Linked DNA regions of Danio rerio. The protein of the gene in region 2 binds, or shares a complex with, the protein of the main gene of each other region. Links are inferred from orthologs where the notes say so. Each region holds a gene or a part of one and is shown on either strand. Other genes may lie near its edges.

Evidence for each region.
Region 1: tfdp1a (region 2) and mybl2b share a complex: the UniProt entries of both Homo sapiens proteins name them as parts of the DREAM complex. The link is inferred for Danio rerio from reciprocal best matches to the Homo sapiens genes TFDP1 and MYBL2.
Region 3: the proteins of tfdp1a (region 2) and e2f5 are in contact, whole or in part, in a crystal structure (PDB 5TUV), measured with the Homo sapiens proteins. The link is inferred for Danio rerio from reciprocal best matches to the Homo sapiens genes TFDP1 and E2F5. Residues at the interface, in NP_009042.1 of Homo sapiens: Glu201, Cys202, Leu205, Glu208, Arg209, Arg212, Leu213, Arg215, Ile216, Lys219, Gln220, Leu223, Leu226, Ile227, Gln230, Phe233, Leu236, Val237, Arg239, Asn240, Arg241, Arg249, Pro253, Ser255, Val256, Ile257, His258, Leu259, Pro260, Phe261; in NP_001942.2 of Homo sapiens: Val126, Arg129, Leu130, Lys134, Glu136, Ile137, Leu140, Glu141, Glu144, Leu147, Asp148, Gln150, Lys151, Leu154, Gln155, Ser157, Ile158, Val161, Met162, Ile166, Asn167, Asn168, Arg169, Phe170, Ser171, Tyr172, Val173, Thr174, His175, Asp177.
Region 4: tfdp1a (region 2) and lin52 share a complex: the UniProt entries of both Homo sapiens proteins name them as parts of the DREAM complex. The link is inferred for Danio rerio from reciprocal best matches to the Homo sapiens genes TFDP1 and LIN52.

What each region holds. Positions count from the first base shown.
Region 1 is NC_133186.1:1,629,030-1,633,299, forward strand, and holds the start of mybl2b (v-myb avian myeloblastosis viral oncogene homolog-like 2b), read left to right. Parts: upstream 1-1,470; 5' UTR 1,471-1,692; coding exon 1,693-1,712; intron 1,713-2,291; coding exon 2,292-2,388; intron 2,389-4,069; coding exon 4,070-4,141; intron 4,142-4,262; coding exon 4,263-4,270. Other genes in the region: uncharacterized protein si:ch73-303b9.1, read right to left, coding at 564-588. UniProt on the Homo sapiens protein: Transcription factor involved in the regulation of cell survival, proliferation, and differentiation. Transactivates the expression of the CLU gene.
Region 2 is NC_133184.1:36,642,039-36,645,987, reverse strand, and holds the start of tfdp1a (transcription factor Dp-1a), read right to left. Parts: upstream 2,801-3,949; 5' UTR 2,713-2,800; exon of another isoform or gene 1,358-2,712; intron 1-1,357. UniProt on the Homo sapiens protein: Can stimulate E2F-dependent transcription.
Region 3 is NC_133177.1:34,650,591-34,654,536, forward strand, and holds the start of e2f5 (transcription factor E2F5), read right to left. Parts: upstream 2,801-3,946; 5' UTR 2,631-2,800; coding exon 2,490-2,630; intron 1,059-2,489; coding exon 949-1,058; intron 776-948; coding exon 614-775; coding exon of another isoform or gene 595-613; exon of another isoform or gene 1-594.
Region 4 is NC_133192.1:33,276,441-33,280,725, forward strand, and holds the start of lin52 (protein lin-52 homolog), read right to left. Parts: upstream 2,801-4,285; 5' UTR 2,789-2,800; coding exon 2,770-2,788; intron 2,182-2,769; coding exon 2,107-2,181; intron 1,948-2,106; coding exon 1,910-1,947; intron 1,834-1,909; coding exon 1,767-1,833; intron 840-1,766; coding exon 756-839; intron 1-755.

The DNA of each region.
Region 1 (4,270 bases), on a different chromosome or scaffold from region 2:
TTCATGGTGAATTTGAGAAGTCACAAGTGTACATTACACAATTTTCTTACATATTCATACTTCACTTTACATCAGATGCTATAGTATTCGCTAAGGACAGTTTTTTTGATGGCATGTTTGCCCTAGACTAACCAAAACATGCTGTAATGTACTCTATTAAATAATTTATTTGGATCTTAAATGAAAATTAATTTTAATTTCATGCATTTTTCCACTCAAAGCAGTAATCCCCCATGGTCTTCTCCCAATGTATAGGCAAAGAGTGCAAATAAAATAAAATTAAGAAAAATAAAAAAAGTGGACATCATAAGTGCATTCGCAGAGCCCAGAGTTTCCACTTTATGCAAGAACAAATATTTAATTATCCATTTAGTAACATTTTACGATTATCAAGCAAATAATCAGATTATCAGATTTATCCCAAATCTCAGCACAATTCAAACCTTTCAAGCATTTTAAGCAATACCTGCACCAGTAAGAGCTCTGTTAAATGTGTTTGCAGCTTATTATAGCAAATATTATTACTAAAACTTCAACATTATTTATATAAGTGTGTGTTTTACCAGGTCTGTCCCGTCCTGCGTCCATTAGGAAAGTGTGGAGGTAATTAGACTCAGCTTGTATTTATGGCTGAGCATGATTAGCTCATTAGCTCTTCAGGCTTTTGGGAAAAGGGGATCTTTTCAGTGGATAAATACTCTAAACACGTCTATAATCACAATGCTTGATCATATCTATATTTCAATGCAGATGAAAAACCAAATAATAAGATTTGGGTTTAGTAATTAATTACTAGCTCTGAGTTTTATCGCCATTTTGTAAAACAAAAATCGCTATCTGAATGAATCTTCCGGTACATATTCATAATTTTACCAACACTCATTTTATACTTTAATGTCATACTTTAAACGTTTAATGTTTAATTATGACATGTCAAATCGTGTTTTTACGACTTTTAGTTGTTAAGTTTTTTAAACGGAATGTCAGAAATACGAGTAAAGGACTATTGAATGGGCAGTTCACGCAAAATCATCGTTTATCTCCCTTAAACTGGATCCAAGTTTCTTCTGTCGAACACAAAAGCAGAAAACCTGTAACCAATGACTCATATAGTATTTGTTTATCCTATATGGAAGTCATAATATCTTCTTTTGTGTTCAACAGAACTAATAAAAGGTTATAAACCATCTGAGGTTGAGTACATTTTCATTTTGGGGTGAACTAGCCTAACGTTACATCCTCAAGGCTAACTTCTATATTAGCCTCACATTAGGCTCACAATACTCGTTATATTGTTAACTTTGGGGCTAACATATAATTTAGTCTTAAGGATGTAGGCTACTAAAGGGATAAATCTATAATACATAAAAATACATTTACGTGTGTATACTTTGACCAAATGCGCGTCCGTGTGTGTTTCGCGCGCGCACGCATTTGTGCGTGACGTTCAGCCTGTGTTGGCTTTACGTCACTCGCGGGAATGGACGAGAAAAAGAAGCGCGAGATAGGAACTTGGGCGCGCAGCAGTGGATGTTTAGCTGCGAGCTCCTGTGCGCTTTTCAATGAAACTCTTTACTTAATTTGATCGACTGTCTAATTAGCATCACACATGAGTTTATGCGTGTGTTCTAGACTCAGAGTGTCCTCATAAAGGTCTGTATTATTGGCGTATTTTGATCAAACATCAGGGAAATGTCTTGGTGGGCGCGCGGGTAAGTACACTAAGTTTATTATTCGTACATGTTTATTGTTCATCTGTAATGGAGATTCACTTTAGGGCTAAAAATGAGACTTAGAAATGTATTCTGCCTGTGCATGTGGTGATTGTTGACAATAAGTTTGTGAATGATCCATTGAACCCCGCCTAATAGCACAAAGAGAGCTGATAAACGCGGAACTACTATAATATTAGCATAATAAAGATTTGCACAAAGTCAGATTTACAATGTTAGTCAGCATCACACACTGTTATAAGTTGTACATTTAGCTTTAAGACCGAGAAAAGTGCTTTATACTTTGATGACAAGCGTTGTTAATGTTAGCTGAGCTGCTAATAGCTCGAGATATTAGCTCTGAATGTGTATTGTATTTTAATGTAATTATTGAGCACATTTAGGGGGGTTAAAGTATTATTTTCTGAACTTTTCTGCAGTAAAAGTGTTGTTTTTTTCCCTTTGGTGTTAATAGACATTGCTTAGCAAACACAAGGCCCTGATAAATGGTGTCAGACAGTGTTTGCTGATCTGCGGTCAGTGTTGTTTAACGTGTATGTGTATGTGTGTGTGTTACAGTGAGGATGAGGAGGAGGCCTTATGCCAGGACACAGACTCTGATGTAGCTGACCAGAGAGATTGTGGGAAGGTGAAAGTCAAGTGGACACAAGAGGAGGTAAACACAATTCTCTAATTGCAGAATCTAAACAATATTGGGGTGAAGTTATTTTTGAGGTTTCATATTCACACATTCGTATAGAGGTAAAGTTGGTTTAATATTCGGATTTTCTGACGTTCTCCTTAATAATATCATTTCAGAAAAGTGTTCTTTGCAAATTATAAATAGGAAAATCATATTAGCAGCCAATGCTTATCATAGTTTACAGTCAGTTAAATAGTGCTAATGTTGTTTTGAACTCATACTTGCATGCTAATTCTGATAGAATATTTAAAAAAAAGCGTAGTAAACAATATAGAGACAGTTAAATTAACGAATGTGCGATTTATAAAACCAACTTTACCTCAATTACTTTCCTTTAGTGATAGCTTGTGACATGCTTCCGATAAGTTCCCATGGTACTTTGAATATTCAGCCTGAAATCAGATGTAAATGTGACTTCAAAATAACATTAGCACTATTTATTTGACTTTTAATAATGTTGTACTTTGATAGTCACTCGCTGCTTATAAGATTTGTATCATTTAGAATTAGCAAAGAACACTTTTCTGAAATTATATTAATAAGGAGAAAGTCAGAATTTGTGAATATAAAGCCAACTTTACCTCAGCAGCAAATGACTATCAAAGTACAACATTGTTTACAGTCAAATAAATAGTGCTAATGTTGTTTTAAACTCATGTTTACATCTGATTTCAGACTGAATATCCAAAGTACCATGATAAACCACATAGGGAGCATGTCATAAGTTGTCACTGAAAAAATGAGCAACTATATATAAAGCCAACTTTACCTCACTTAAAACAGTCACTTAATAGTATCTTTAATGTTTTTCACATCAATAAATAGTGTGTTTTTGTTGTTGTTTTTTTCTTAAATTGTGACTTATTGTTACAGTCTTAAAGATGGTCAGTCAAGGGGAAGGAGAGTAACATTAATTTTGGGTGAAACATGAGCAAACACAATATTTACAAGTGAGGGACAAAATGCCAAGACTAACTAAATGCAATAAAGTGAGTTTATTTACAAATATAGTGATAATAATAAATGCAAAATTATGGATATTTAAACAATAATAAATATTTACAAAAATATATTCACAATTGCAGTCAACAAATGTTTGAACCGATAGATGAGAGAATTGGAGAGATGAGACGTGGGTGGCGTCCAAACAGTAGAAATAAATAAAACAAAACAATACTTTCTACTGGCCCAACCAACTATCCCCCCCAAAAAATATATCAGTTATTGAAAAGAAAATCCTTTACGCAGAGTATACACATCATGTCACATCATGTTCATGTCTGGATAGACACTCGTACACTTCGGCCAATGTAGTTCATCAATTCCTCTATAGCACATGTGTTTGGACTGTAGGGGAAACCGGAGCACCTGGAGGAAACCCACACTAACATGGGGAGAACATGCAAACTCCACACAGAACCGCCTACTGACCCAGCCGGGACTCATACTTTTATTAATTAGACTAAATGATTGTATGAGACTCTTTTCAGTGTTGATGTTTTTTGTACAATGAATGTTTATGAAGAAACTGATATGATTGCTTGTTATATATTGTATTTTTAGTTTAGGTTTTGTCATGAATGCTGCTGATATGGCATTAAAACATAAATAAATATTGCATATCTCTAATTTCATGTTCATTGGCATATCCCAGGATGATAAGCTGCGTAAACTGGTGCTGAATGTTGGATCAAATGACTGGAAATACATCGCTGGATTTTTACCTGTAAGTGTGTTTATCATGCATTCAGAAAACGCACATCAGATGTTATTTATGCTTTGATCTATTGAACATTTGAGTGTCTGATTAAAGTTGAAATGCTGTAAGAGTGTGTTTGTTGTTGAAGAATCGATC
Region 2 (3,949 bases):
TTGGGACTTGTGGAGCTGTGCATTGATGGATTTGCTCTTCAGTGTTTGGACTTTCAGTAGTAAAATTTAAACCACCCTGAACTGAACTTCAAATGTGAAATCCAGACTAACACGGTTTCAATTTACTAGAATTTCTATGTTAAGCTGCTTTGACACAATCTACAATGTAAAAGTGTTAGAGAAATAAACATTTAATACAAAAATTACATATTTTGTAAGAGAACATCCAAAACATTGCTGTGTGCTGGGCTAAACACACTTATAGTGGAAAGCCTATAAAACATGAAGGCTAAAGGAGTCAAAACTGTGACATTAAGAACTTTGATTGCAAGAAGACTCCTTTTCAAAACCTGTACTCAACCATAAGAAGCAGTATTTCTTCTAAAAATATATGTATGATAGTGCACTGTCTTTTTTGTGGTCACATATTGTGACATGTTTTAGTTTGCAAGGAAGTATATTGTGTTGCATCGCAATCATGCCAAAACCTATTTTTCCAGCAGTGATGGTCTGCTTGTTTGGTCCACAACCATGGCAGCGTTCACACTTATTCAAATGATCCAACAGAGCAACTGCACCAGAGATAATTCTAATCAAACCAAACCCACCAAGTGTCAATGAACACACCCTTACATCTTTAGCACAAGCCTAAACAATACAAGTTTACACGAATGTTTATATATTAACATCTCAATGCAGTGTTTAGCCAAGATGTTTTACTTGATGATATTATTTACATGTGGATTAAAACATCACAAGTGTATTGAGATGAGACCCAAACACTTTCAAGCACTGTGTGAATTCAAAGTTAGTTCGATTCGGTGTTTGCTAAAGAAGTCGCAATTTTTAAAATGCTGTCTAGGTAGGACGCTCACAAGGTTTGGAAACACTGTCATGGTTGATGAAAACGAGGCCCGCCAGCTCTCATGCAGCTTTTATTACCAGACAAAGACCTCGACGAATCGTATCATCTCTTTAACATCAAATCTCGAACTCCTACACCCAAACCCCTCGTGCAATATCCTGAAAAACATCCATATGCAACAGTTCCTGTCGTTTTGAGTAACTTTTCTTGCAAAAGGAAAGGGCCCTTAAATACAAAAATATCAAGTGTCTCAAGTAATAAAAAAGCGTGTAAACGCATCAAGCAGAACGATAATCTGCTTCATTCGTTTACTTTTTCCGCTCCAAACATAATGCACAATCGAAGCAGTGTGCACTATTATAAAGCGTGTTAGCCCAGTTAGCTAGCAGCCTTTCAAACACGTTTTGCAACGAACCCTGGTCCTAATTGTGATCAAAACGTGCTTCTCGTGTTTAAATGCGAGCAGATCGGGTATTGTGCATGTGCTCGTACCGTTTTGCAAACGAATCGGACTTAAATGGCCATCTGGAAATGAAGTCTGTAAACTTTCCTCTGAACTTACAGTCCTGAAGCCCTTTGCCTTCTTAGGTGCTGTTTTTGTTGGCATAGCCAGTTAGCAAGAGGACAGAGGAAGAGGAGGTCTGAAGCCCATCTCTCAAACAGGAAACAAAAATAAATCAAATAATATGAAAAATAAAAACCCATGTGCGGTGAATGAGCGTGCTTTTGAAACGAGCTTGCACTTGGGAGATGTTTGATTGTTAGATCATGGCACATTCATAAACCTCAAAATGGATGCGGATGTTTTAAGCATGCACATACAAGACGCATGCAAACTGTAAATCCCTATAAATAATTCCAAATAAAAGAACTAAAATTATCAATATATATTATATAGAGTTTAATAAAGAATAATCTTAAGCAAATATATGTATATAAACGGCCACATTATTAAGCAACACAGTTGACAGTCACAACACCTATTCAGCTGGAGGGTCACAGAATTCGTTGGCTTCAACAGCAACACAAGTTAAACAACCGATTATACTCTAAAAACGGAAAATAGCCGTTCATAATGGGACATAATTATTTGCAAACATTCATGAACTAATTGAACAAACAGGATGGTTTTGGTTTAATGCCTGGCAGCCATTTTACATGGTTGCTAAAGCAAAGCCAACATGCAGTGATGCTAGCTGAGGTGACAGGTCCTTCTGTCGTCAAAAACTACTTATTAATTGAACAAAATCCTCGTGCTTATGCGATAGTAACAATAACAACTGTTTCTTTAGTTTCAAAAGTCTTTAAAACACGCTTTAAAGCGAATTAAAATAAAACTGTTAAGCTAGCGACCAGGCGAGCTAGTAACGTCAAGCTAACTTCCACTCAAATCGAGGTCATCTCGACAGCTTTATCATAATCAATCTACGATCCCCTTACTATTGTTTATTACACGTCCAGTTTTGCCTGCCAATGCTTTTTTGTACGATCGGTAAAGATCAGGGACGATTTTCTATTGCACTACACTGACAGAAACACTTGACATGGCTTAGCATGTTGGCTAACACAAGCCATCTGAGACAGACAGTTTTAATATTTCACCTATATGATAATGAATCAGGACTGATGGTTAACAGACTAACGGCCTCAGATAGCAGATGTACAACTGCATACAGTCGCACGCTGTTGTTTTAGAACGAGTTTGCTGTCAAACGCACTTATTTTGTGTTAAATTATTACAAGCGCAGATAAAAGACAGCTTCTTTATGCACTGGTGATATATAAAAACGGAAAACATCGCTCAAAGCTGTCTGTGTGGACTCGGAGCCCCCCCTGGTCTCACTTACGGTCGGTTGCATCCGCCTTCAACTGTCTAGCGTAGAATGAATAGGAGCGCACAGTAGAACCTGCTCCCTCTCTAGGTCTGTAAAACTGAGCTTGGCGGTGTCGACGCCACGGGAAACCCGATTGGACGATGATGCTCGTGACGTCGAAAAAACGTATTACAAAAGACACGCCCGCGCTAAATTCTGATTAGACGGAGCGCTACAAAAGCTGTGTTGACATGTTCTCATTGGTTGATTATACTGGATTCCACCCACTGCGTCTGAGGGTGGAGCGTGCGTAGGTATATATGTAAATAAAGAGAATAAAAAATGGTTCATGTGTATTAAATGTCTAATATATGTTTATTAATACCACCCAATACAATAAGAACATCTGTTACCAGTGTATAAATGTCTAATTACCGCTTTCATATCACTTTCTCGGGTTATATTTTCAATTAGACCGCTTCCCCTTTGCACGGTAGTCATCCTGTTTATTTATTTAGATCTCAGTACTGTAAAAGTACTAAACATTTGAACCTAAGCTTAGATACAGACACCATATCAATTTATTACAGGTTTGTGGTGCAAAATAGTGCACTGGTATCCATTTAACTGTATTTAGGAAATGAAAAGGAAAAGGTAAACTCTTTCTTAGCTCTTTAAGTGTATTTGTTGGCTTGTTAGCCAAGTTACGATTAATAAATTGTGTTTTCATTTTAAATAATTGAGAAAAGATGTATAAAAAACAACATAAAATACGTTTAGAGGCGTTTAGTATTATGCACAAGTCAATATTTATGAAGTACAAATCATAATGTACAAATCAGCAAAATAATAAATTAGACTATTTTATTTGCTCATTATATAAAATATAAAATTGAAACTTTAAGTCATTAGGTCACATTTTGGTTTTAGGACTGTAACATGTTTATCAGTATTCATGCTGCCCCCACAGACAGGACTGTATACAGTATGTTTTATACAGATAACTAATGGAGAAGTGTTCAAAAAGGGTGTCACCATTTAGTGTCACTATCATTTTCAGGTCTCTGGGTGGGTATATTTGAAGAAGTTATTTGAATTAAATACTGTACATCAAGGGTGCCCAAACCCGGTCCTTGAGGGACGGTTTCCTCCATTTTTTAGGTGTAACCCCAATTAAACACACCTGAACTAGCTAATCAAGCTCTTTCTAGGTATACTAGAAACTTCCAGGCAGGTGGGTTAAGGAAAGTTGGAGCTAAACTATGCAGGA
Region 3 (3,946 bases), on a different chromosome or scaffold from region 2:
TGAACTAACATAGTTTGTACAAGTAAAAAAATTAAATAAAATTGACTTTTGAATAACTGAATTTGAATTGAGCACAAGCATGTGTGTTTGTGTGTCTACGTATATAAAGTGCGTTTATTTTCAGAGGCACTTTGCTTGGATTGATAGACATTTTTCAGTTTAGAATGATATCCTACTGTTACAGTTGTGCAATCTAAATGAACAGTATGATAACTGGTGTAGATGTGAATGTGCCACAGCCTCTCATGCCCAAAATGCCTTTATTGCATTGCTAACCTCTGCATAATAAAATTAATTAAAGTACATTTAAACAACTTCTGGATTAACACATATGTCATATCCTATCATATGCCAACCAAACCATAAATATTAATCATTTTACATACTCCATGTTACCTGTATTTAAAAAAAAAAAAAAAAAAAAAAAAAAAAGTTTACATTTTAGTTTTATGAAAGATTCATTTTATGACTTGTCGTAAAAACCACCTTCTGTGAGCGCAAAAGCTTTTTTGCAATATAGGAGTTTTTTTTAATGGACACATTTCCATTGGATGCGTTTTGCAATTTGCATAATTTGAAGGTTAATGGAAACGCCTACTGACAGTAAGGATATCTGCAGCTGTAGGGGTCTTCATTCAGTTGTTTGATGCTTTGTTGCAGACATGCTTTCTGCATGTCCAGCTCTCTTTCCTGAAGCTCCAGATCAGCGATATTCGCCTTGAGAAGTTCCACCTGCTCAAGAACCTCCTGAGGCTGGCAGCCTGTACTCTCCCCCCTAAACAAGATAAAGCAACTGCTTTGGAGATGGATGCAAAGGAGCATGCATGGTGCAAATTTAGCACACATTTAAAAAAAATGCACATAATTACATAAAGAAATATTGTATACATAAATACAATACGTCAGTACCATCAGCACTTTGTGGCACATCTTAATCTTTGAACTCACTTCCACTGAATGGTGTTTTTGGTCTTTTTTTCAATGAGTCCAATGCCTTCCAGGACATTGGTAATGTCATAGATTCTCCTCTTTTGTTTGACAGCCAAACTGTCAGCAGCCTATGGAAATAAATCACAATGTCATTATAAGCAATCATGCAGTTAGAAAACAGGAATTGGTTATTTGCGGGACCCAAAATAGCTTGTGTTGATATATACCACCTCATATCCAAACCGATATCATGAATAAGTGAAATAACTGTTTAAAAATAAAAATAACAATTTAATAAGAAAAAACTAATTGTAAACTAAAGTTAACTAATTGTATCAAATGACCAAATGATAATAAATGTATTTTCTCATGCAAACAACACACAAAAAAGTTTCACTTGTACCTCATTTCTGCATGAAAAACATTTATCTTTGCAGTTTTTCTAAATTGTAATTTTTCATTATGAAAGCACAGCAACTAAAGTGAATGTATTAAAATTTGATTTTTTTTTATTTTTGATGTACGAAAATCACAAGACTATGAATAACTACACCAAAACAACAGATCCCAAACCTGCTGGTGCAAATTTTAAGGGGCTTTGGGGGGATTGACCCCCCTAATTAGTTTTTAATATTAATAGTTTAATAGTTTTTTAATATTGAGAAATATTCCACTCTGATTTGCTTTTTAAATACTAATGTTAGTAATAAATATAATATTTAATATAAACCACCCCTATAATGATTCAAACCATTGTTAATGCATAATTGCACCAATCAGACTATTTGGAAAAAGTGGCAGATCTGGAGCACCAACAGACATCATGTTCATAAGACTTTGTTTTGTCGTAAAATAGGTGTTTGTGTCTATATTTAGCCTGAAAATAAAATCAAATTAGATGCATAGTTTGTAGTTTAACCTACAGTGACATTTGAAATAGCCAATCAGGGAATACTATAGGTCAGAAAACACAAAATATATCTCTCAAAACGCTGAAAACTTAAATACGTTTGATTAACAAACTAGATGTAATACATAAATGACTGAAGTATGTATGGCACAAACTAACCTTAACAGCAGACGCCCCAGATGTCAATGTATAATTCGCACACTGTTAAGCACATCTCATTTGTACATATAAACAGATTTGCAAAATTAAATTTGTATATCGTTTAGGTGCTTTATTTAGTACATTTTAGAGGAAAGTAACAGGTGTTTTAGGCTGAGTAAAATTTTCTCCAATGTTTTTACATGTTGCGCCTCTGCTGCCTCAAGCGTCAGGTAACAAACACCTGCTGTGAGAGAAAAATGGGTTTCTGTACAAACCCCCCTGACACAAGACACGACATTTCGATCTTTCATTTAACACTTTTAATCAACCTCGAACCAGAGCTTTAATGTTTCTGCATAACTCTATTACTAAACGCCTCAGTTTACGGCGAAAGTTCACTCAGGTGAGAGAGTTTCTTTGTGTACGTCCTGACTGAACTCCGCAGCCTGTCGACTTTCATTCATTCTCGTCACTCATTCATTCGGCTCGTAAATGTGTTTTAACCCACCACTTTGAGGTCGAGCACCCCATCTTTGGCCTCCTGGAGCAGGGTGACGAACTTGACTGTGAGGAGACCCAAACTCTTCTCGTGGCGACTGGACCCGTTCGGTGTCGAGTGAGGGAAACTTGCGCTGTTCGACTCGGCCATAACATCCAAACGCCCGGTGTTTACTGAGGTGACACAAAAAATGGCCTTTGTCCCGTGTGGAGGTGGACCTCAGTTTGGATGGCGGCGGTGAGGGGGAGCAGAATTCATCTCCAACACTTCTTTACCTCAGGCTACACTTCTACTGCTGATGGCTCGAGGCTTTTTAAATCAAAGGAAATGACGTTGGATTACAGTTACTATGACAACGTATTCGCTTGAGCGTTTGGCCAGAGCAGTTTTTTTTTATCAGACACGAAAACCCAAATAAGATCCACAAGTCCTAAATATACCGCTAACGTTCATTCAATTAAGATGTTTTCTAATAACGTTATAAATTGATCAAAAATATTACCTGCAATTTCTTGAAGTCACATTATTACATTTTTTTCCTGCGGATATTATTTCTTTCCATTTTTTTATTTCACTCATTTTAATACAACTTTGAGTTAATTTTTCTTCATTTGTATGTTTCTTGAAGTACTATATAATTTTATTTTAATAGGATTTAGGATTATCTGAGTCTTATTTAATTAAATGTGTATTTATTTTTATAATAAGACTAGTTAAATCCAGTTTTTTGTTGTTTATTTTATGTGAATGCATGTTTATGTATTAATCATAAAAATTCTAACAATAAAATATATTTTAATCCTATTTATTCATTGAAATCTTAATTTTTCTTTGTAAAAATTAAACTACTTTGCAGTAATATAATCTATTATTTATTTTAATCTAATATGTATGTTTAATTTAATCAAACTATTGGCATTCCAAAATTAGCTTATTCTACTGCCAATGTGCATTTATATATTTTTCATAAAATATTTCAAATACTAAATTTTTGATTATTCATTATTATTTATTTCAATGTTATTATATATTTGTTTTTTAATGAATTGCGTTAAATATTTTAATTTATTTACAATTTTATTTTCTCCAAATTTTCACAGACCACTTTGTGCCCAGTTTGCAAACCCCTGGTAGAGATTTGACCCACTTCAGTGCTTTGAGAAGTGTACATTTGAAAAAAATTTAATTAAATAAAAGAATTAACTAATGAATTAAAAAGAACACACTGTACAATGAACAACAAATGATTTATAATTTAATTAAAAAAATGTAAAAAAAGTGCATTATATGATACCGTACACTCAATGTACAGTTCAACAAAAATAACTTACTGATGTTTTGTATTTTTTCATTAAAAGACAGAAGTTTCACAGCTACGCCAGTTTTCTGTTAAAGAAAATGGGAGTAAAAAGCCAATAAGACAGCTAAACACAAAAGGCTAAACACTCAGATGCACAGTCTCAGTT
Region 4 (4,285 bases), on a different chromosome or scaffold from region 2:
AATTTTAAATCAATATAAATGCATATCTTTGAATTATTTAAATTAACTGATGCTTTTTTTATCCTCTCTCTGTAACATTATGGAAATTATTCAAAATAGTAGAGTAAAAATCAAGTAGACAGAAAAGCATTTGACTGATTTTTCTCATTGAAGCATAGTTTGTTGAGGGCTTTCTGAGGGACATGCCACACAAAGGTCAAATCAGCAGAAGGAATGTAATACATCTGAAACGAGTGTTCACCAATGGTCTGCAGTACTCGCTTTCAAATTGTGCGATGTTTCGATGCCCATTTTCATCTAGAAAATAACTGAAACACTTATCTTTCCTGTAATCCTGCCTGCGTGGATTAATGCTACATCTAGCAATTCTGTGATATAATATTACAGAGACACTGGGCAACAAGCCAGTTCTGTTTAAATATAGAGTGGGAATTCATTTGAGACTTACAGACTGAAATAAACGAATAGAACATAACAAATAAGTGTTTTTTCCACACAAGGATTCAGATGGATTTAGGCTCCAGACTACATATAATGAATTATTTGTTGTATTGTCTTTTTAACTCTATCCTAAATATCACAGCGGCAAAAAACATGAAAAATGTCTTTATGTATTAAAAGCTGGGTTTGTGTTTGTCAGTAAGTTTTATTCTTTTTCTAATATCGCCATCTAGTGGATGACTTACAATATACCGTAACTAGATAAACAGTGTGAACTAATGCACTATTTCTGAGTTGAGTAAGACATTACTTACACTCCTCCAAGCCCAACTGGTAAGCCAGATTCTGCAGACCCTTCACCTTTTCCATCAAATTTGCTGTGGTCAAACTTCCTAATTCTAAAAAAAAAAAAGCCACAACAAACAAGTTACAAAAAATAAAATAAAAATGGACCAGAACCGAAACAAAATATTATACTGTAGCTTTTATAAATTCCAGGGTTTCTGCAGGTTTCACAAAGTTAAATTTAAGACTTCAAGACATTTTCAAGACCCTTATGAATGAAATTTTAGACTCATAAAGGACTAATCGCTAAGGAATTTTTCATATGGCCCAGATGGAAAAGATTTTTCATTTGCCCCATCAAAAAACGATTATATATTAATAATACAATTATAATTTAATAATAAAAAAATAAATATTTTAGATATTTTTTATAAAAATATTCAAATATTGTTTAAAAACAAACAAGCTCTACTTGTATACATACACTTTATTTTTCCAACATAAACTTTCTTTACAATAAAAAATGAATTAATGTTTTTAAAGTTTTAATATAACTAAATCTATGCAAAACAATCTGTCCAGGTCGGTGTCCTCAGCAGCAAATACATGGAACACTTTTTAACAAATATTATGTATTTTGAGGAAAATAATAAAACTGTTATGGTAAACAGAGTTAAAAATCACCTTTTTATATAAAAGGTTTTATTGAGATGAATTGTTGGTGATCGTATAGGACTAATGGCCAGACTGCGTAGCGATACATAAACAAAGGAAAATTAAGACCTAATTTAAAAAAAATTTAATTTAACATTTAGGAACTACAACACAATATTTCAGTAAATTTAAGACATAAAAATGTAATTTTGAGGTTTAAGACATTTTACGACTTTTTAAGACCGCGCGGACACCCTGGAATTCACCAAGCAACTCATCTAACTATTATTAACCTATTCTACTAAGCAATATATAGAAAGCATAGATAAAAGACTAAATGATACATTAAAAGACTTGATATGAATACTACTTTAAAAAAGGCAGACCTTTCAACATTTCAATATCCTCTGACTCCAGTTCAGCCATCCATTTGGGTGGAGAATTTGTAATAGGCTGAAATAACAAAAACCAAGCCTTAATTTCACATCAACTTTGAAAAGTATTCATTATCATTTGAATATTTACTCACATTTTTAAAGGATGCTGCAAATTCTGACACACCCGGCACTGTTAAAAACAAAGCGTTCAAAAATATGACAATGTGTAATAATCAAATGTAATTTCTATATTTCAATCAGTGCATTTTTTTTTACATATATTTGGAAAAATATGTTAATGTGTCATAAATATTAGTCCAACTGAATAAGATTAGAGAGTCAAACTTACACTGCTCTGGCCACAGGTCAGGTGAAGCCCGGTCAAGATTTTCTAAACTTATCAGAGAAGATTCAAAGTCCTCACCTACACATTAAAAAGATAAATGCTCTATGGTCAGAGAAAACTCATCAGCAACAGGATCAATAAACCTGAAGTACAATAAAAAATGTTAAATATACACAATTTCAATTTTAACATAACTCAGCTTAGATGACGTTACAAAAAAAAATCTTCTGTCACATATTATTCAAGGTGTAAAATTAAGCTGATGTTATGACAGAGATATTATGTTTACTCAGCTGCTAAGTTACTCAAAGCTGAGCTAGCTGCATTGAGTAATCTTGTCACAAAATAATGAGTTACATAACTAACGTTAAAGATAAAATCACGACACACCAAAAGTAATATGTCTTCGCGTATTTACTACACTATTACATTCGTATTAAATTATTACTACACAACTGATGTCGTCTGACACGTAGCTTTGCTAATGACTGGCTCCAAACAATTTTATGACGCTATTCCGACTGAAAAGCTTATTTTGATTCAGAATCCATCAGTTCTTTATAAAAAATATGCTAAACCGCATAATGATTTATATGACTTAATTAGTCCGTTGCACTATTGCGTTAACAACTAACGCTGCCAGGGAAAAGAGGAATTAAAATTTACCTCCATTCGGAGACGCCATCTTGACAACAACACACGTGATTCTAAGCAGCCAATCACTGGAGGTCTTGGATAAAATAGCCACACCCTCTTATGTTGTAAAATGATGTCGCAATAATTGACTGAAAAATATGAATATAAATATTATTGACAGCACAAACCTTTTTGTTGACCAAACTCTTCTCAGTTCTATGTCAAACAAAGTGATTCTCTTTATTGTTAACAGTTCTCTGATCTCTTTAATGGTCTTTAATGGCCTTTTCTTGATATTGATCTTGGATGGTATTCGGAAAAAATACATATTTTTATCTAATAAAGCTGTTGAAGTCTCAATCAGAATCATTCATAATTGCTACCCAATAAACAACAAACTAGGTAAATTTAATAACAATATTTCCTTCAAATGCTCATTTTGTACTCAATATGGTGAAACACTAAATCTTTTTGGCCTATTTTGGGAGTGCACTTATTGTAAAGTCATTTGGGTTGACTTTTCCAATTTCACAAAAATTGTATTATTTCCAAACTTTTGTATTTCCCACAAAAAATTATATTCTTTAGATACTTTCTGAATTCTTGTAAATTTGTAATTAATTGTTTCCCCCCCCCTAAAATTTACATCGATAAATGTAAATTTTCAAAGAAACACCCTACTTTTTTATTTTAAGAAATTACTTTATATGTGAACTCTTTAAAAGACCCTAACAGTTATATTGCATGTAAAACACTTTCTTGGTGTAAATCATTTAAACTTGTTTAATTTGCTGGAATTTTAATTATGAATTCATTTCTGTCTATTTGTTTAAACTGTGTCTTTGATAACGTTCTTTCTTGCAAAATAAGTAAAAATATATATGAATAATATGCGAACATTAATATGTTTAGCTTTCATACAGAGTACTTGAGTAGTATTATGATAGTGTTAATATAATATAAGACTCAAGACTCAGTCAGGCCAAAAAACACAGCAGAACAAACTTCTGTACAGCTACAAAAAAGGCAGTAATTATAAATAGACCAAAAATAAAAATTATTGGTAAACATAAACAAGTCTAGTTTCAGCACATTTTAACGTATCATATCAATATTTTTAACAGAGTGTTCATTTTATTTATTTTAAAACACTAAAGAAACATCATTCATTCACTGTAGCATTATTACTTTGATCAACCCATTTTCAAATGCTTTGTACATAGCATTATACGAAAAGGCCCATTTAAAAGACATTAAAAAAGGGATGGTATTGTAAAACTGGTTGAAGAAATAACTATCAACACCTCTGTACAGATCATGTCTCTAAAAGACAGAAGGTCACTTTATTATACTTGGAAAAATAAAATAATTAGTAAAATTAAATAAGTAAAATTCAAGTATAAATACAGAGCTCTTACAATGTTGGTGATTAATGAAAAACATATATATTTTCAGTCAATTGAGCCAGAAAATGTGTTGGTATCAAATGCAACACAACCTAAATCCAAATAAATGCACCTGAGTCAGTCTGTTTACAATTTGCATT